Linked DNA regions of Arabidopsis thaliana. The protein of the gene in region 1 interacts with the protein of each later gene in a pairwise test. Each region holds a gene or a part of one and is shown on either strand. Other genes may lie near its edges.

What was found. Proteins that work in one complex are often made in the same cells at the same time.
Region 2: the proteins of AT5G58620 (region 1) and GRF4 interact in a two-hybrid assay, tested with the Arabidopsis thaliana proteins (one large-scale study listed by BioGRID).
Region 3: the proteins of AT5G58620 (region 1) and AT1G07050 interact in a two-hybrid assay, tested with the Arabidopsis thaliana proteins (one large-scale study listed by BioGRID).

The regions. Positions count from the first base shown.
Region 1 is NC_003076.8:23,690,381-23,698,063, reverse strand, and holds AT5G58620 (zinc finger (CCCH-type) family protein), read right to left. Parts: upstream 4,806-7,683; 5' UTR 4,532-4,805; intron 4,148-4,531; 5' UTR 4,106-4,147; coding exon 2,282-4,105; 3' UTR 1,924-2,281; downstream 1-1,923. Other genes in the region: AT5G58640 (Selenoprotein, Rdx type), read right to left, coding at 1-68; TRM31 (uncharacterized protein), read left to right, coding at 729-1,536, 1,613-1,923; AT5G58610 (PHD finger transcription factor), read left to right, coding at 6,872-6,970, 7,308-7,683.
Region 2 is NC_003074.8:19,613,618-19,621,051, forward strand, and holds GRF4 (growth-regulating factor 4), read right to left. Parts: upstream 4,891-7,434; 5' UTR 4,652-4,890; coding exon 4,420-4,651; intron 4,323-4,419; coding exon 4,128-4,322; intron 3,831-4,127; coding exon 3,533-3,830; intron 2,978-3,532; coding exon 2,560-2,977; 3' UTR 2,360-2,559; downstream 1-2,359. Other genes in the region: AT3G52900 (RAB6-interacting golgin (DUF662)), read left to right, coding at 1-73, 161-235; AT3G52905 (Polynucleotidyl transferase, ribonuclease H-like superfamily protein), read right to left, coding at 525-575, 669-758, 853-948, 1,041-1,109, 1,524-1,581, 1,706-1,854. UniProt on the Arabidopsis thaliana protein: Transcription activator that plays a role in the regulation of cell expansion in leaf and cotyledons tissues.
Region 3 is NC_003070.9:2,161,216-2,167,667, reverse strand, and holds AT1G07050 (CCT motif family protein), read left to right. Parts: upstream 1-2,406; 5' UTR 2,407-2,534; coding exon 2,535-2,942; intron 2,943-3,033; coding exon 3,034-3,222; 3' UTR 3,223-3,314; coding exon of another isoform or gene 3,315-3,341; 3' UTR 3,342-4,093; downstream 4,094-6,452. Other genes in the region: DFO (uncharacterized protein), read left to right, coding at 321-462, 814-1,013; AT1G07040 (plant/protein), read left to right, coding at 4,633-4,839, 5,039-5,191, 5,282-5,497, 5,572-5,693, 5,783-5,946, 6,024-6,178, 6,345-6,443.

The DNA of each region.
Region 1 (7,683 bases):
AGGTTGAAGAGATCCGAACAAAACAAGAATATAGGTAGACCTAACAAGATCAATTGTGCTCTGTCCATGGCGGATATTTAGATCTCTCGATTAATTCACAGTGAAGCGCGAGAGAGAGAGACGAGGGAAGAAGTAGTGTAAAGCGAATCGGAGAAGACGGAACGAGAGAGTTCAATAAGACTTGTTTGGATGCTGGAATATTATTATCCTGCTCATTGTTGTTGACGTCTTATATTTTGAAATATTTGCTTAAATACCCCTGTATTTATATTTTATTGCACTTACACCCCCGCTTGAATGAATAGAAGTAACATAAAGCCCACTGAAAAGTATCAAAACGGCCCAAATATTTGATCCGCAACTATTTTTTCTTGTTGACTCGGTTCAAGAACTAAAAAGAACAAAAGTGACAGAGGTTTGTTATAAAAAAGCGGCACCGGACGACATGAATTTCTCCGGGAATTGACTTGTCAAAACGCGTGCAGTGCACAGCGTCTCAACTGTTGTCTATTGCTTTCTCAATCACAAAAAGTACAACAAAAAAAGCTGATTTACATTTTGTTTTTGACTGAGAATGTTAGTTCAAATTCTAGATCCCGCTCTGAGTTTGTTCACACTTTTTGTTTTGCTCTCCATCATCACTCAACCGAAAAAAAAAAGTAAAGACAAAAGTTATTTTCCTTATGCGTTACTTCTCCGTTAGTTTCGAAACACTGACACTATAGACCATGAAGATGAAGTCATCGCCTTCTCCGGCTAGTTCTCTCTCACTCGGCTCGAAGACTCGGTCATTCGGCTGTATCTCTATCATTCTTCAAAGATTTCTCTGTTCCGGCACCTCTTCTACCTACCCATCTGATCTAATTACTGAACCCAGTTTCAAGTCTCGTGATTTCATCCCCGAGCCACTCAGAGGCAGAGGAGATGGGCCAGGAGCTGTGGCGAGGCTCATGGGTTTGGACTCAATTCCCGTGATCGACAAAACCAGATTTCTCTCAAGGAGCCATTCAGTGAATCATTTGAAGAGGGACGACGATGAGATTCAGGGAAAGCATAGAAGAGTTAAGTCCACTCTTGAGTATGTTGAGCTTGAAGATGATGATTTCTTCATTCTCAGTTTCGAGAAGGATAAAAATGATAAGGAGCTGGGAACTAGAAATTGTAAGAAGAGGAGAGATACTAGAGAGAACCAGAGCAAAACAGAGGATCAAACACACCTAGAGGGTAAAGAGAACAACATCAATGCCATGAACGTTTCACCAGGACGTGAGAGGCTTGAGATTGGAGAACTGATGCAGCGTAGAAAGGAGAAACGTAAGAGCAGAAGAAAACGAAAAGAAACTAAGTTGAGACAGAACATCGAGAAGGAGAATTGGGTCCAAAGTAATGGTTGTTGGTCCAAAGAAGAAGATTTAGTAAATTGTGAAGTGAGATCAACAAAAGAAGAAGAAGAGTGTGGAAGCTGCGATGATTCGAGCCCTGTCTCGGTTCTTGATTATGACCGGTATGCTGGTGTTCGAGTAACTCCATCACCAGGTTGGTAATTCTTCAGTATTGAAAATTGAAATGTCCTTTCTTGTGTTATTAAAGCATACTTGTTTCCTTGTAACAGGAAACATTTCAAGAAGACGGTTGTCTTCAGAACTTGAATCTAGTAAGCTCAATGAAACGATTGAACAAGATCACATCACATTGACAAGTAGATCAAAAGACCAAGAAATCCGACTTCATGGCTACCAAGAGATGTGGCTCATGATCTGCAAACTCACTGTATCTGACCTTGAAGGTTCAGATTGGTTTAACGGAAAAGCTTTAAAGCTCGAAGATATAGAAGGAATCATAAGCGAAGATATAGTCTCAAACATCTTAGATCAACTCTTAGAAGAAACAATTACAACACTTTCCCTAACTTCACAAGTGTAAATACATTTCTGTATTCCAATTATATTATTACTAAAAAACATATATATTCAGCGTGAGAGTGTTACCAAGAAAAAAAAAAATCGATTACTCATTGTGAATAGTAAAGAATCAAGGAAGTGAGGTGAGGTAATTCAAGGTTTCTTAGGTTTTGAAACCTTTTTTCACCTCTGTTTTTCTTTGGAGACAGAGAGAGAGACAAACGAACTCTCTTTTGTCCCCTAAGAATTTTTTCTTTTTATTCTAAAGAAAAATAACAAAGCATTAAACAAATAAAATGAAATAGATTAGCATCGACCTCTCGGAATCTTTCTGACTTTGCTTCTTGTGGAACGGTTAATGAAAGTTCAAAACTTTTGATTCAAGCCACGGTCTGTTCTGTCTCCATGTATGATTGCTCCATCCAAACCGGAGCTAGTCTTGTCTCCTGTGGCTCTTTCACCAGCGGCTCCACCCATGAGACATCTGGCTCTTCGAGCCCAGTCCCTTCGTTAGGCAGTCTTGATTCCATGCCACCGGCTCTGAGACGGAAAGAAGTGGATTTTCTGAGCTTCTGTAGCTCGTCTCCTTGGACGCTCCAGTCAAGCTTCCCATCCAATGAGCCCCAATCGTTTAAACAAGTTGTAGTCATGGAAGAGATTGCGGGATGGTGATTCAGTCCGTTGTTGCGTTCTATGAAGCTTTGGCTTCGCTGTTTAGCAAATTCAGCCGCTCTTGAAGCCAAGACTGCGGAGGAATCCATCGAAAACAGAGAATTGGCTCCCACAGGTGATGAAGAAAGACTGTTGGAATGCAGCTGCGGGTTAATGACGCTGCGTCGGATCTGCAAACCCGATGTATTATCCTCTGTCCCAAACATATCACTGAGACTATTCACCGGGCTCATTGCTCCTCCTGCAAGCCTGTTCATGCCCTTTCCGGAGAATGGAGATGACATTGGCGTGTTGTTCCATGTAGTTGGAGAAGTAAGACTTTGCATCTCTTCAGAGAAATCGATTTCTCTTGCATTCAATGCAGATTTCAATCTGCTCCCTGGAAGCTGCAATGCAGGAGGGGTTATGTTAGGCCAGTTCATCCACGTTTTTCCTCCACCTATTGGAGAGGATACACCGTTAGGACTCAAAGGAGGTGTGGTTGTTGCTCCGATAGGAAGCGGACTAATCGGTCCCATGTCGAAAGCGGTCGAGGAATTGCAAGATGAGAAGGAAGACCGCGGGGACGGAACACCTGATCCAGTTGAAGGGTACAAAGGACGCAGCTCCTCGGGTTTGTGGGCAAAGAAACAAACTCTTCTCGAGCAATTCGTCTCGTCCTTGCAGAGACGAGTCCGGTACTGAGCCGGGTGAAGCCAGCACTCAAAGATACCATGAGCATACTCGCAAGTATCACCTCTGGAACAAGACCCCTTCCGGAATTCAGGACAAGGGACACAACTATAATGGTACTTCCTCGGATCACGCCTCCTTGCGTTCTCACCCGGATGAACAAAGGGACATTCCGTCCAGTCGTGAGAGTATGCTCTAGAGCACGGCTTGATCTTGAAAGCATACATCCGGAACTCATCCGTCCCATATACACCGTTCTTGATATCAGGAAGCGTTGGATCAACCGGATACTCCTTCCTCTCAGACCCCCGAGGAGGCGAAACCTCAACCTCAACCTCAACCTCTGGCTCGCTTTCTTCTTGCCCATTAACTTCATTCAAATCATCATTTCCTTTCAACAAACGCTCCAAAACCTTCATCCTCGCGCTAAAAACCGGACTCAAACAAGGGAAAATCACATCTCCAGGCTTGTTACCATAAGCATCACAAGAATCCGGATTCGCAGAGCCCTTCAGCAGAAGAGTAACAATCTCAAGGCTATTGGCAGACAAGCCAGAGACCGCACAGTGAAGAGCCGTGGCACCATCAGAGCCACAAGAGCGGTTCACGTCAACAAGACCAGTACTAATGATGTAATCAACAACCTCTTTGCTTCCAAACAAGGCAGCAATCATAAGAGGCGTCCTCTCCTCAAAACCCATCTTCTTTGATCCTAATCTCCTCCCATACCACAAACCAGAGCCATCAATGCTCTCAAGACCTTCTTCTTCAACTAGAGACTTAAAACCGGACAAATCATTGCAGGCTGATGATTCTAGCAGAAGAGAGAATTTGAGGTGAGACAGCTCATCAACTCCCATGGCAAAAAAAAGCAACAATCTTTTCCCGCTCTATTGATTTCACTGCAAAAAAAATTGCAGAACAAATTGAAAAGGATGAATCTTTTTTCTTCTGATTAAAATGGTAATATACATAGAACAAAATCATACAAAACAGAAATAAAAACTGCAGAAACGATTAAGCTAAGGAGAGAAGGAAGAGTTTGTTAGTTTGGGATACAAAGTTTCCAACTTTAAAACAAACCAAACCAAAAATAAACACCAACAGATCCATAATTAACCACTTTTGCAACATCGAAAACTAATCATATTGTTAACTCATTTTCCAATCAGCAAAACAATTAAAAACAAACTGCAAACTCTAAAACAAATCGACATATATGGATTCAACTGAAACTAAATTAGTGACTAATCAAATCAAAGAAACAAAGAGTAAAGATTTTCTACCTCTGAGTCACAGAGACAAACTCTCTCTTTTCTCGACCACCACTACCAAAAAACCGCTCTTCACTTCCTTTAAACGAGTACTCAATTAGTCAATTTATTGAAAAAACAAATCCGAATTTTTTTTCTTCTTCCTCAAATTATGTTTTTTTTCTTCTTCTTCCTCTCCTTGTCACTTTCTTCTTAAGGTCAAAATAATAGAAGTTTTTAAAAAAATGAAGAAGCTTACTCTAAATAATAAAACAAAACCACCATCTCCATCATTCTTCTTCTACTTCTCTCTCGTCTTTTTTATTTCTATTTATTTATTTTACTTTCAATTTTAATTTGTAAAGTCTGAAGGAAATGAAGGTGTACGTTAGACTTCACACAGAGGATCTTCGCTCATCGGTTTTGTCACGCTTCACGCGTTTTTCCGGTTTTTGGTGGGATGACGTGGAAACCATGCATCGTCAGCATGTTTTTAAAATGAGCTACTTACTTTTCTTCTCCATTCACGAGCTAAAGATAAAACCACTGCCTGTTACCTAGAGTTATATAACCAATTAACCATAGCTTTTTAATTGGTTTGTCACCGCCCCAGAATAATCTCAACATGCACCAAAACACAGAATCGGAACCGTCTCGAGTGGGTTTCGCTTGATAGCAACTCTCTTTTGTCATAGCTTTGATTTGAGTTATATTCATCAAAATTAATTATCATAAAGTTTAAAGATAATTGAGATAATTATTATAAAGTCGAGAAATTGACGTTTATGTTCAGTTTTTTTCGGTCGACAATTCCAACAAAAAGACGATTAGGTAATACAAATATCCTAAGAGACTAAAATAATGTGTATTTAAATTCGGTAATGGAAAGAATTCGAACAAACCTTACCAAACTTTGTATTTTCTGTCGCTATGCTTGTATTATTATATTAAAAGATAGTGATTCGTGATCCATGACAATGTTGTACTACTATATAAAAGTAGTCATAAATTGCAAATGTATAATAATATTTTTTTGAAAACGACTACTGTTTTGTATTGCAACCAGACCAAATCCAAATGCATGCAACCGAACCCATCAATGCTTTTTGCAGCGGCATTAACGAAGCTGCTCCACTGGCTCTCTCTCACATCATAACACAAAGCCATTTATTTTCTCTTCTTCTAATTTACAGTTCTAATAAATAAGTAAAGTCATAATATTAATATGATAGTGCAAATACTGTATATATACACGACAAATTATTAATTTTTAGATAATTATATCCTGTTTCTTAACATAAACACTGTTGATTCCCAATGTCAAATCAATATTTAAAAATTTGTTATAAGTCAGTCACTCAAAAGACAATGGTATGAAAAATGCTGAAAACAGACGGTCAAGATCTTGTATTCACGATGAGATATATTGTTAGGTTAATTTTGATATAAAGCGAAATAAAAAGGGAAAAAAGGTAGAAAAGTCTAAGTGTACAATTAGGAAAAGGACCCACAAGAATCCATAATCTGACTAGAATGAATGGAATAAGAAGCATGTGGGACCAACTGAAAGCGACTAAGCATTGCTATTTGCTATTTTATCAGCCGACGTCGCTGCGACAAAACCCCAAATGGCAGAGCCTTATTGGACAGACCATATTGACTTTTATGGTCCTAAATGCAGTGAATTATCTCTCTTCGACTTGGCGCCAAGCACTTCTGGGCCAGAAATACCGATGCGGGGCTATACGAGGATAATGATCTGTTTCAAAGCCCATAATTAAAGACCTAGGTTTGGCCCATTAGTCTATCTTCTTGATTTAAAAGAAGGAAGCCAATTTCTTCTTCATGGACGTAAATAAAAAGAACTGGTAACTAATGAGATAGTATCTTACTATCTTCACAAGTAAAAGTCATATGGTGAATCCGAAGAAAGAATGTCGTATTCATGAGCTATATCTGAGAAGAGTGAAAAACAGAGTCAAAGTCAAAGAGTGATGAGCAAGCTTTAATAGTACGAAAGTAGAAGAAATAAAGAAATAAGAGGGTGAAATGGGTAAATTTTGGATTTTTAATTAGGAAATAGTGCAAATTGACCAAAATTAAAAATCTCCACTCTTTTCGCGTGTATCAACCAAAAAACAACATCAATGTCCTTTAGTTTTAATTAATCTCGCTGTTTAATTGGGATTAGACTAAAAAAGTTGCAGAGACTAGTACAGCGTTACTTGGGGAGAAAGCTGCTACTCACACAAGTACCTCCCAAATCTCTTCTCTTACCCACAAAAATCTTCTCTTCAATATTCTCCAAGCTCTATCGGAACACTGCGTTTTTTGTTTTTGTTTTCCCTCCAAATTTCTCACTCGAAGCTTTTAATGCCAGCGGCGGAGGAAGAAGAGCCGATATTCGGCTGGAACAGCACCGGTAGACGAAATCTCCGCCGGAAAAAGCTTCTCGACGGTGATAAGATAGAGGTCGCTTGTTGTTTTCCCCCCTGACTATTTCCTTTCCACCATGGGTCTTTTTGATTGTAGGGTTTATAGGGTTTTTCATTTTCTCAACCTTTTGAGCAATTTCGGATTTTTTTCAAGGTTTGAGTTTCATCGTGGAGTGTAATTGATGGATTCAACTTTTGTAAAAGCTACATTGTCTGTTTCTCCATTATAATCACTTTTGGTTCTCTGTAGCTTTTTGTTTAGCTTTTGAGATGTTAAAAGTTTAGTAGTTTCCATTTTTAGTGCAAACTTATATGTTGCTTTTAATGTTGCTTCGTCTTCTAATCCTGGAAAAGTATTTGTGTTGCTTGTTTAGGTAAGGAGTCTTGAAGAGGGGTCTCTGGGTTCTTGGTATTTAGGAACTGTAACTTCAGCTAAAAAGCGACGTCGGCGTTGTATCAGATATGACAACATTCTCTCTGATGATGGTTCTGGTAATCTTGTGGAAACTGTTGATGTTTCTGATATAGTAGAAGGGTTGGATGATTGCACTGATGTTTCTGATACTTTCCGTGGACGTTTAAGACCTGTGCCGCCAAAGCTGGATGTTGCTAAACTGAACCTTGCGTATGGGCTCTGCGTCGATGTGTTTTTCAGTGATGCTTGGTGGGAAGGTGTGCTCTTTGACCACGAGAATGGTTCTGAGAAAAGGAGGGTGTTTTTCCCTGATTTGGGTGATGAATTGGATGCTG
Region 2 (7,434 bases), on another chromosome or scaffold:
ATACAAAGACACATTGGAAGCTTTCAATGAAAAGAACAAAGAGAAAGCTCACCTTGTTTCCATGTTAATGGAGGTATTTAGTCTAAACCACTTAAAAGCTTTGTAAAATTTCTACTGAAGATCCAATGTGTGATTTGTGACGATGATTTTCTTTTGGCAGCTACTGGCTGAAAGTGAAAGATTAAGGATAAAGAAACTGGAGGAAATCAACAAGACTGTTGGAACCTTGCAATGAGGAGAAGCAATCTACATGGATCTTACCTTAAAAGAGAGTGAAAATTTGTTTAAGTTTTTGGTATTACACTCTATCCAGGTCCTCCTATTAAAAGTGAGCTACGATGTAACAGGATGTACGATAAATGAATGGTGCTAAGGTTTAAAGATATGAATGCAGCGAAAAACGAATTTCTTAAAAGATGCAAGATGTCTTTGTACACATAGATAATGTCAAAACAAATCAAGCATCATTATATTCATATATCCGAAACTAGCGGCTTCCCTATTTTGTCATTACCCGTTTCCTTTTACTCTGCTGGCTCAGTGTTTACATACCTGTTCGCGTAATCTAAATACTCCTGCAAGTAACAAACAATCAAACATAAAAATTATCAAGAAGGAAATACAAGAACAGATTCCATTGGTCTTTAAATGAATATTAGTAACCTTACCTGAAGTATAACTACTGCGGCTAACTTGTCCAACATTGTCTTCTCTTGAACAGGATGCAAATTCAAGGGCTTCAACATCAGTTCAACGGTCTGTTGACAGTATTACATGAGATTCAAGGGATATTAAACTTAACACCTATCTTTACTGTGACTTACAAGATCTTTAAATCTGAAAAATATATACCTTTGATGATAATCGCTCGTCCCAATATGTGTATTTCACATCCTTGAGTTTTTCGGTCTTACGAAGTTCCTCAATGAAAAGATTCACAGTGACAACCTGTTCCAAGTTTAAAAATCCTTTTCGGTTATATGAGCTAATGTAGAGGAAAAGTACTTCACAATTCAGTCGAAACAAAAAAAAAAACTTACATCCTCTACATTGTTCAGTTTGCCAAATGGATAACCAACGACTAATCCCGACACAGAAAATGCTTTGACCTGCATAAGACAACAAAAGGCAAATGATTGATGTAATCAAACAGAGTTCATAAGTCTACTTGTTGATAGATCTCTACTACGTCAAGGACTTAACAGTAAACACTAACTGAATAAACCTTGATCCTTTAATCACCAGTAAGGCAGTAATCACAAAAAGCCGAGGGTGAAAGTAGACACTAATCTACTACACTAACAAACTTTCTTCTTCATTACCAAAACAAACGATAGTTTCTTCATTCCTTATCTTAGTAAACACTAATCTACACTAGCAACCTTTTTTCTTTGTTTTAAAAAACACTAAGAAATGATAGTTTCTCCATTTCTTAACAAGAACTAAAATCTGTGTATTTGTTTAAGGTCTCCTTTAAATCTAGAGCTAAAAAGTAAAGGAACGATCAAACTTATAGCACCTACCAGGTTCTGGAAATCTGTAGCCATCAGGTCAATGTTTGATTTCTTTCTGAGCAAAACACTGCAAGAGAAGTAACAGGTTTTCAATAGCGATGATGGTGACAAAATTGATCAGAGAGGATTTGCATTTTTGAAAATTACTGTTAAACAAATGTTGTAGCATGTAGACACTGAATCAAAGGTACCTCAATGGAGAAGCAACCATATTTGAAGGATCTGAGATAGCTAATCCAACATACTTATCACCAACATCTAAACCCAGAAACCGACCAGGGACTGACACTTTGGTCTTCAGCGCATTACCCAATAAGCTCAATGGCTTCACATACTTCATTTCCTGATCAAAAGTAAGTGAATCAAACTTCCAAAACACTTGTTCAAATCAAGACTAAAAATTCACATATCAATTGCATAAATTTGAGAATTATTGTACAAAAAAAACTTTAATCAGACCATCAAACAAACATTTCGAAAAAGGGTTTTAGAAATTAATCAGAAAGTTTAAATCTTGACGTACTTTAAAGGCGGAAACTTTCTGGCTCCGGAGCACGGAATCTGGCGAGAGGAAACGACAAATGGTTCTGCTAAATGTCTTCGCGATTGAAGCAAGCAAGCACAAACCCCAAGATTGTGAATTAGAGATGGACCGGAAAAGGTTTATTCCGGTTAAGTTCGAGACTTCACCGTCTAATCAATCTATACGATGCCGGTGATTATCAGGGTTTTGGTTTTACATTATACCGGGAACCGGTTAATTCGAGGTGGTTTAACTGGTTTCCCAAAATTGATTCGGTTTAGCTTAAGTGAAAAGCTCAAGTAACCACCTCTCCTGTACTTACTTGCAGGCAGAGGATCATATTAGTTTCATTGCTTATACAAAATTGTCAAGCTTTAAACATAAATATAATAGCAGAGTAAGGAACAAAACAATTCCAAAAGCAGAACTCACAATTCCAAAAGAAGACAAATTCAAAGATTATTTTCTGCAGAAAATAAAGATTCAAAGAGCACAAACCAAAAAGATTACAAACACTTTTCTTTAATGAAAAACTTGAGTAGAGATTCCCATCTGATGAAGAACACTTGACGTCGAAGAAGCTGACCTCAAAGCCTCAGCTAATGGTCCTCCCATATTGTTGTGGTGATTCCCTCCATTGCTCCACCAATTCATTTGCTCCCTCTCATTGTTGTTATTTCTCATGTTCTCTTCTTCTTCTTCATTGCCTGTGGAAAGTTTTAGAGAAACATCTGAGGACGTGTTGTTACCGGGCATGGAGATTGAAAGATGACAAGTGGATGAGCTCATTGGACTGGAGGTAGAGTCTGATGATCGTGGCCAATCGTCAAAGAAATGCCTCAAGATGTGACCATCGTCTGATCTTCCATTGCTGAATCCACTGTTAGCTTCATATGGCCTCTTGTTGTTGTTGCTTTCTTGTTTCATCTCTGAAGAACAACTGTGACAGAGAGGAATAAACATAAACATAAACATTGTCAACAAAAAGATCCAACATTTGAACAATAATAAGTAGACTGATCAATTCAACAAAATGGTTAGAGAAATAATTTAATCAGTCAAATGTGTGTGTTAATAAGAGGAAGTGGTTGCAGAATCTGAGAGCTTTATTTTGTTTGGCTTCTATGCAGGTTTGGTCAGCTTTCACTGAGGTCCTACCATGTCATTATTTCAAATACAACATAAGTATACATATCTCTTTAACTTTCTCTCTCTTTTCTATTTCTATGATTGAAAAGTCTCACCCAACTAGTAAATAAAATTAGATTCTATCAAATCCAACTGTTATCATTATCTCTCAACAAAAGAAAGAATAATGTTTTTATCACAAAGTATGTATGATAAGTCTCTCTTGTCACCCTATTGCCAACATTACCCCTTTCTTCACAGCATTACTTCACAGTGAAATCACTATTTCCCTAACAACAATATTTGTAATTAACCAAATCTACTAATGACTTTAATTAAACAGAGTGTTTGTGTTTTTTTATTGTACCTTTGTTGATGACTAAGGTGGAGAGGTTGAGATGAACCAGAGGAGAAGAAGTGGTTGTTGTTTGGTCCATGACCAAGCTCCTCACCTAAGACAAAAGAAGATGCGGTTGTTGTGGCTGTCGTTGTGATGGTGGTTGTGGCGGTTTCCACAGGCTTTCTTGAACGGTTTCTTCCACGGTGAATGTGGCGGTCACAATACTTGTGGCCCGCTACAACATCCCTTGAACATCTCCATTTCTTGCCGTCAGTTCTCTTACACCTCCCTGGCTCAGGATCCATTGCTCCTCTTCCCCAATACCCTGTTTTTTATTAAGTGTGTGTTGTTCATTAGTAACAACAAACATAAATCTCACTCAAGACATTGGTTACGAAATGTACTTGTCTGATTCTATCTATGTTGCTAATAGATCTTCTAGAAATAGGCTTATCATACACATAGGGTTTTAACTCCTTGCAAGGTTGCAGAGCAGCCTTATACTTATTTTAGATCTTGGAAATATAACTCCAACACCAAAACAAAGGGAATCTTTTTTACAAAGAAAGACTATTTCAAGGATAAGAGAAGCATAAACAATAGAGAGGAGAGAGAGACTGACAAGAAGGTTGGTGATGAGGAAAACTATGTTGAAGAGGATGGTGAAGGAAATGCATAGGAGATTGATGGAGGAGACTTTTCTTAATAGGTAAGAGAAGCTCTTGAGGAACAGAAGCACCAGCCAACATGTATCTATAGATCAGTGCTTGTAGCTCAAGTTCTTGCCACTGTGCCCAGCTGAAGAAGTTTCCCATCTCTACATATATATGTAACATAGAAACGTCAGATTAAATATCAGCAAAAACAACTTCAACATTAGAGTGAATAAGTCTTGTCCTTTTAAAACAACTTACTGAGGAACCTGGAAGAAGAAGAAGAATTAGAAGAGTCAGGAGAGAAGCAAGAGAAAGAAGAGGAAGAAGTGGGTTCAGGGACAAAGAGAGGAAGAGGAGCCGCAGCAGCAGAAGTAGCAGTTTGGGACTGAATCTGATCAAAGAAAAAGTTTGATATCTTAGTTGCAGCAGAGCCTTGTTCTTCTGACTCATTCTGCTGCTGACTTCTCCATTGTTTCAGTTGCAAGTCCATGGAACAAAGAGAGAGTGAGTGAGAGAGAGAGAAAGAGAGACAGACAGAGAAATGTGTTGGTTGCTTTTGGGATAGTTTTTTTACCCTCACTTCTTTTGTTTTTAGAGAGTCTGGCTTAATAAGCAAAGACAACCACAACAAAAGTCTTATTTGTTTGGCTTGTCATGTAAATACCCAAAATAAAAAACTTTTTCTTCTTCACTCTTTTGTTAGAGAGAGCTAGAGAAAAGTGTTTAGACTATGAGACAAGACAGTTGATAGGATAAACAAAATTAGTATATAATATTTGATTGATAGGTTTAATAAATTGTTACTTTATGTGATATAAAAATTATGTAAGTCAGAAAACAAAGAGAGAAAGCACTGCAAGATGCAGATGGAGAGATAGTAACCTGCAGTGTTTATGTCTCACTGCCTTGGAAATATCACTTCCTTTTTTTACCTCATTTTAATATTCCTTAAGTAGGTTAAAGAGATGCCTATTATGATATTGTTATTATGTTTTTTTATTAAGGATTCATTTAATGTGATGTAGAGTAACCTTCAATTTTTGTCTTACAGATGTCATTTGTCTCAGAGATTGTGTTACAAATGTATGAGATTCTAACTTCTAAGCATGATTAATCATTTGGGTTTTGACTAAATAGTCTCCATTTGCAGAGAGCTACAATACAATCTCAGCTCTATTTACTCTCTTTGGTTAGTAAGTTTTCCAAATACTTTACCATTTTAGTGGTTTAACCATATTTGTCTTTTAATTTGTAACCGTCATTACTTTTCTCATCTGTTACAATATTATTGTTACTCATAAAATATTATGTAACGTCTGTGTTTGTTTGATTTATTAAAAAAAAATTATAACTTCCTTATATAAATGTAGAAATGGACATTTATCTTTGTGTTATCTTAAAAAGACATGGCTAGCTAGTAGTATATGTACATATCTAAACACATCGAAAGGAGGGAATCATATTATTACCAGAAAAGGCCAAGTAAACTTGGAAACATTTGTTAAAATGAAGTTAGAAACATTTATTTGATATCTTCACTTGGCTGAATAATACAAAAGACATTTATGATTTTCAAAGTATCTTTATTTGGTGGTGCCAAAACAAAAAACGATAGCATTATTTTGTAGTTTTGAGGAAATAAAGTAATAAATATGAGAAGGACGATAACGATATTTCATGTAGGAGTGAGCCACAACCAAAGACTATGATGACTATTGAGAGAGTTTCTTGAGTTTTCTTTTCATTCATTCCCACCAGTTTCGGCGGCATTTATATTTGCACTAAGAAAAATATAAGAAAAACTCAATTCCTTAAGTACAGTTCAATGTTATGTACACTTCATTTGCTGTAAATCTTGTGAACCAAATAAAAAAGAAGAGGAATATCATAACATAACACCCAAAATAAACTTTGTTTTCAAAATATACCATAGGTTCTTTTTGACTTTGTAAAATTTTCCTTTTTGAAAAACAAAAATCTTTGTAACAAGTATAAAGCGGCAACTGAATTTAATAAACATTTTACGTTTTTTTTTTTAGAATAGAAAAAATATTTCGCAAATGGCCTAAACAAAATATTAGCCTCTAAAATAGAAATATTTTTTGTTGATACTTGATAGTATAATGGATCTTGTGCACTAATGATGGGTCTTAACTAATAAAGTAATAATGGATCCTGTGCACTAATATTTTGGGCCAGAACTTGTCATATACCAAAGATAATGATATCGAAGGAAAACAAACTGAAAGCAAAGTGTGAACGTAATGACATATTGTATGTCTTTTTTCAATCATGAACACGAACAAAGATTACATGCAGATGCAGTAATACTAATGGTAACAAAACAACCAAACAAATGTTGATTATCTAGACTAACTTTATATATATCTTGTTTAAACTTTAACCTACATGGTTATTAGGTTATACATGGTAAATGCATTAGTTTAAATTACCATACTACATACATTTTTATATGTTGCTCATGTTCCAATTGTTTCGTAAAACCAAATAAAATGACAGAAAATATATAGTATTATTCAGTGGACAAGGGTTGGGTCACGTGCTAAGATTAAGACCAGATGAGATCAGAAGAGGGCCCGGCCCAAACTCTCCACCTACTCACATAGATTTGAAAATCACGGGAGCTGATCCGAACCGAGCCGAGCTGGAGTAAAGATGGAGCCGGACAACGAAATCATAATCTGAGGAGGCTCTCTCTTTAGTTTCCGACGAGGGCACAGACTGTGGGTCTCACTATGTAATGTGAGATACCAAATATATTCTTTTCACTTTTTGACCAAAAGTTACCGTCTGTTTACGCACTATGCCATTTACGTTCACTTACGATGGGCCGTAAATAAAAAGCCTAGTCACGCTAGCACGCGAGGCCTCACGTGCCTTAATTATTTTCTTAATGGGCTTCGTATATTCCTTTAGGAATGATTCTTATGGGCTTCTTAAACTCTACGTTTAGCAGTACACCAACAAAAACCGAAATAAGCAAACCTCTTAGCAGACCTCTAATTTCTTAATGTGCTTATTATATTCAATTTGGAATGATTCTTGTGGCCTTCTTTAACTCTATGTTTAACACCAACAAAAATGTTGTAAGACTTGATGTATAATTTGACCAATATTTTAGTTTCAACATTATTTTGATTCTCCTAGTCAGTTGATATTCGATTATAAGCAGAGAAGACACATGATCTAAAGTCTAAACCAAAAAAAGTCAAGTTAATTAGAAGATGATAATAAAACCTTCATTTTGACCCA
Region 3 (6,452 bases), on another chromosome or scaffold:
AATTACTCTTCCTTCTGTAGTATATGATCTCGTTGCTTTTGGGAATGGTTGGAGAAATTCACATAAGAGGAATGGTTAGAGATTCTGTACATGTTTCTTGGAAAGTGAGTTTACTTTGTAATTGTGTTAACAAGTTCATGCTTGTATGATCGGAATTGTTGCTTTACCAATTTATTCAATTTTTTGGATACATAGCAATTTGTTATTTGTTACATTTTTCTGTTCCCACATGGAAGTACAGATCAGATAGGTTCTTTGCTTCTTTTGATTTTGACTTGTTCTTACTATGAGGTATGACATTTTGATGAGTTTTTACGTAGGCGTCTGAAAATGCCCTGTTGAGCCTTAAGAAGGATAGTCTTATTGAACCAAAATCAGAAGATAATTCTGACATTTTGGATGCTGCTGAGAAAGTAAGGAGACTAAGGGATTCAGCTGCCTCGTTAACATCTTCACATTCAGGTATTTTCATTTATATCGTGTCTTCTTTAAAGTTTGCTGTTTGTAACAGACTTCTGACTACATTTTGATTGCTTTCTTCGTCTCTATCTAAAGTATTGGTCTTAAATTACTCGTTTTATTCCCACCGTTCAATGCCTTCAATGTAGTGTGACTGTTATGTATGGGAGAATCCATTGAGTTTGATAGAATCTTGGAAATCTACTGGTTGGAAAGATTGATGATTTATAAACTGACTCTACCAACTATTGTTTGGATCCATCATAAAGGATATAAAACTGACTCGACCAATTTTAACAGAGTGTCTGTTAGAATGTATCTGATTGGTCTGAGTAATTTTCGAATCACAAACAGTTCAGGCACAAGGTGCAGGGTACTTGAGAAGCAAGGAACACAGAATACAATCCAGACAGACTCTACCCACTAAAAATCCAGACTGCACAGGTAGCAATCTGTTCAGAGAAGGAATCAAGAAGCGTAACGAAAGAATGTTGCAAGATCTCCGTAGTATTCGGATGAATCGAAATCTAGAACCAGATGTGCGCTGTGTTTGAACTTTGATGCAACTGATGCTACAAACTTTGCTGCTTCATGTTCATTGAAAAACAGGTCAGCTTTCGCTAACATTACAACTTAGATGTTACTGAAGATCATTTTTTTTTCTCATAGAAGAATAGAAGAAGCTTAACCTCATTGATGCCTTTTATGAGCAAAATCCAAATCATTTCACCAGACACATTTCCCATAAAGATTGTTTCTGTTTTAGCTTTTGGTTATCAAAATTCGAAATTTTACCACATCAGTATCACCACCTTCTGAAAAGTTTCCATTCAGTTTTTTTCTTGAAAAGTACGAAAACTAGTTTTTGTTCTTACGTTTGCATTATGAAAATAGCAAAAGGTTAATCAATTTGTATTATTAAACAACTCTATAAATTTGAAAATCAAAATGTTATTTTCAAAATTGTCTAAACTTCAACCGTTCAAAATCTAATAAATAGATTGCCACATAATTTCTCTTTTTAGTAGTATATATCATGTGGCTCATGTCTATGCTATCACAAGTAGACAATTGTTTTCTGAGATATTTTCTTTGTAATTGTTAAACCAAGATATGTCATCATCATCTTCCTATTTTTAGTTTTGGTCAACTTGTGTTTTCTTTTCCTTCTAATCATTTTTGTGATTTACAATGCATATTCAATGTATACAAATCTTGTAATTCAACATGTGTTAATGTGTAATTAATTATAAAATATATAATTAGCGGTATAGATACATTTTCTTTTAAGGATATAAAAAAAAGTTATATACTTTTCTTATTTTATCATGTCTATGTAATATGTGTCAAAGTGTCAAATTTTAATAGCTGTCATTTGCTAATTTTCTACATATTCATCTATTGGTGGAAACATACCTATTATCATTTCCTTCCATCACAACTTTTTTTATCATGTATATAAATATCTAACAGATTTTTCACTCCATCTAATGTGTCGAATAACAAATTCTTACATCAAGAAGAAGAGGAGTGAAAGGCCGAGATACAGATCGAAACATAGATATCACTTACCAATTGATAATTGGGTGACGCCTCTGTTTCAGTTTAGATTTCGGCTTCCCATTCCTCTTCATCAAGATGTAAGAATCTTATTCTCTTCTTAACTTAAGATACTTTGAATACAAGAAAATGAATTCTGAAGAAGAACAGGGAAATTTTATACTGTTATAGCTCTTTCCTAGCCCCAATGACGCTAGGACTCGGCTATTAGTATAAAGATGAAAAAAGTGGCTAAATGGTCTCTGGTTAGAGGCAAAGGACCAGTAAGAGAGGTCCCTCAAATTGGGTCCAAGCTGGACTCTCTAAACCAATCAGCTTGAGATTATTCCATCACTTTTGGGATAAGATGCCACATCGTATCAGTTACATCACATATTAAAGTATTAAAGAAACACCTTGCTCTCTAAATATTGTATTTGTATCTATATATAGTTTTCGTATGGTGACGGATTTACAAAGAAAAAAAAAATATTGGAGTGAAGGGAAAACAAAACAGAGAAAAAGATAAGAGATATATGGATACACAAAGGTTGCCGAAGAAAGAAGAAGAAGAAGAAGAAGATCATCTACTTTCTTCAACCTTCGAGTCCATCAATGGTCACTCTCGAGACCAACACAATCATTCTATAGATGATTTCGAGAGCATTTTCGACATCACCATTGACAATTTAAGCTGCTCTAACGAACTCACGTGGGATTTCTGGGAAGAAGACGAAGATGAAGATGTAGGGGAAGAAGAAAAAAGATCGAGTACTGATCAAGAAGGCTCAAGTTTTGGGTTTTGGGAGAATAAGCCGACGGATTATGAAGACAAAGACTTGGGTCTGAAGCTGAATCTGAACCATCAAGAAGTTATCGATGCTTGGTCTGATCACCAGAAACCTCTGTGGACAGATACTTCAACTCTGGACAATTCCGTTTATGTTAGTTTTTATGAATCTCTTTCTTGTTGTGCAAGTTATGAGTAGTGATTAATCTTGATTAGTCAATATTAATGATTTAGAGTGTATGCAGAGGGGAGAAGTGCCAGTGATAGAGGAGAAGAGAAACATGCGAAGAGAAGCAAGTGTGTTAAGGTACAAAGAGAAAAGACAGAGTAGGCTCTTCTCTAAGAAGATAAGGTACCAAGTCCGAAAACTCAACGCAGATAAACGACCTCGTTTTAAGGTCTCTTTCTTATTCCTTCTTCTTTCTACACTCTAGCCTTTACTCATTTAGTTTCATGACACCAATTAATATTGTGAGGCCTAACTTTATATTTCTCTTGCAATGGAAATCTTTTGAATTATTTGTAGGGTCGGTTCGTGAAAAGAGAGACTTAAAAGGGGCAAAAATATCTGGAGAAAAATATCTCCAACCTTTGTTGTGTCTATTTTCTGTTATTATTATTCGTAGTTTTGAGATATCATTATCGACTTTTACAACTTTTGTCATATTGAAATGAAAATATCTTATTGACATAAAAAAGAAAAGAGATGCAAAAATATCTTTAAGATTACATGAAGAGGAGCGAACGTATATGGCAAGTCTTTGTCGAATTGGTGGGGTCTTAAGGCTAAAAAAGGGTTCACCACATGTGTATGAATCGAAATCTACTCATCCGCTGTCGGGACCAAACTACATATCAACTACCACGTTTTTCTCATATGAATATTCAAAGCTACCGTAAATTTTTATAAAATTACGTCATTAGCATAAGAATGTATGTACATATTAATGACTATTATAAACCCTAAGGCACGGATACCTTATCCTTCCACCACCGAATTTCACGGATTCCATATCCTTTCACCGGACTAGACGAATATGAAGCTAAGATATTAATAGATTGGTGACCAAATTTGAATCTTTTCGGATAAAACTTGTTTGGCATACTTTCCCTTAGAGTCAATTATTCTTCAAACAATGTTTAACTTAAATCTCAAGATCTTATGTAGTTAATGGTAGATATCGTACAGTTTTTTTCGTGTTTGTCTTTTGATCGTGTGTAAAGTGTTGGAAAATCTAACTTTGTATATAAGTTCTACACCTCCAAATTAACGTTCGAGCTTATCGGTATTACTGCTAGTGCTTTCTCAAATTCCTTTTTAGATCATATAGTAGCCCACTAGGAAACCTTACACCAAAACGCCCAAATAATATGAAAAGCCCATCATATTGTCCATCCAAAGTAGGACAATTGCTGAAAAAGCCCAACGAATCAAACCTGCATTGTTACCTTGCACTTGGAAAATGAATTAAACGGCGACGCACCTATGGATGGAGACTAAGTTCACTCATCAAAAATCTAATTTCAACTCTAATTATCGTATTTAAGGTCATTGGAGATTCAACTCTTGTACCTGTAGTTTCTTCTTCTGAAAATCAGCAACAAACTACAAATCATCCAATGATAGAATTTCAGCTTTAATTATCAAACAAATTAAAGATAACCCCATTGATAATATCGCCACGTCTCATCGGATGAAATAGTACTATCTGACACGACACGAATCTCTTATGAGAGAAACAGAAGAGCACGGAATCTCCATAAATCAAAATACATGATCGGAGCTTTCTCACTATCAAAAGCTTTCCGGCGACAAAACCAACCATCTCCTCCTTATCTCCACCATGATCTCACTCCACTCATCAGCCATTAAAGCCTCTCTCTACGGCTCTTTCCCTTCTTCGTTACGATCAACACTCTCTGTTTCCTTCTCTGCTGGATCTCTTATTCGGCTTCCTTCCGTCGGCAAGCGCAATCTCTCCGTCGTCGTTTCCTCTGGAAGAGACTCCTCGATGTCATCAAACAATGTTTCTCGCGGATCGTCTTCAAAGGTTCGTCCTTTTGTATATTTCTTGTATGGTGTATATACCCTCGATTGATTTAGGTCATGAAAGATCTGAAAACTCTGTTCTTGTCAATTGTTGATGTTTTGATTCTTTGGCATGTGGGTGCAATTAATTTGCCTGCTCAAGTTGATAACTTGCCATTATCATCTAATTGTCTCGTCTCTCGTTTTTTACACTTGGCCAGGTTGCTGCTGAATCTTTCTTCAGGAGTGTCTTAGGGCAGATGGAAACTGTTTACCTAAATCGAAACCCGACGCCTAAATCCGTCTTGGAGCTTGTTCGATCTGTTGATGACCAGCAACTTTGCTATGATCATCTCGCTTTCAGAACGTTTGGGGTATAAACATTTTTGGCTGCTTCAAAGTTGTAACCATTTTGACAATGTTAAGTTGCTCATTATTGGAATTTGTCTATGGAAATGTTTTAGATTGGTGGTTATGGGATTGACTCGCTTGCAAGCTTTTTCCTTGACTATGGATATACACCGATGGATGAGCTAAAATTTCCGGCCAAAAAGCTTAGAGCTTTGTGGTTTGCACCTCCTAATGCTTCTGCTGTTCCTGGTGGCAGCGGCGTTAACGGTCCTTTACCGAGAGTTTTTATCTCAGAGCTCCTGGTGGACCAGATGAGTTCACAGACTCAGGTAATAATATACTGTCATTGGTTTTGACCCTAGATTATGTTATGAGCTTTGAAGGCAATTTCTTTTGTTTTCAGGATGTAATCAGAAAATACACGGAAGCATCACCTAATGGGAAAAAGTATGCTGGACTTTCTAGTGCTTTGGGTACTTTAACTTGGGAAAAGCCTCTATCTTCTGAGTTTGAGCAATTGGCTAGGTACATATGATCCTAGGTCTCTTTGTTTCTTTTGCTAGATCAAGCTAGAGTAGTTGACTTAAGGTGTGTTGGGTTAAATTGATTAACAGGGAAAGTGAATACGCAGCATGGACCCTTGTCAATGGATATGCACTTAACCACGTCACGATTTCTGTTCATCGGCTTAAATCTCATCTAAACAAAATCAAGAAGCTCAATCAGTTCCTCGAAGAAAAAGGTATCAAATTGAACTCAGAAGGAGGAGTCCTTAAAGGTATGGTTACTAATCTTTATCACTCAATTTAAAAGAAATTAGATTCTAAGCTAATCTTTGTCTTTCTACTTTTACAGTTAGCCCTGATGGTGGTTTGCAGCAAAGCTCAACTGTAGCAGATTCGATATCTTTCAAGTTCGCTGATGGTGTTACCAAATCTATCCCTTGTTCATACATTGAGTTTGCTGAACGCCTTGTACTTCCGCAGTACCAAAATATACCCGAAAGCGAGGTAAGAAACCACTCTGATTGAATCTTAACTTATTTAGAATCCGGTTACTGTGAATCGATGCGATCTTTTCCTTCCCATTGCCTGGAGAACTCCTCTTAGATACCACTAATGTAAAGATGGTGTACCAACATTGTGGAATGACATTTCTGAAACCTACAAAACGCAGATACAAGAGTCTCATCGACGTGATGGATTTGAGGTCGGAAATGCTGACAAGATCTTCGAGAGCACATTTCAGGAGCAGCTTTCCCGACGAACCGGGTGATAGCAAATA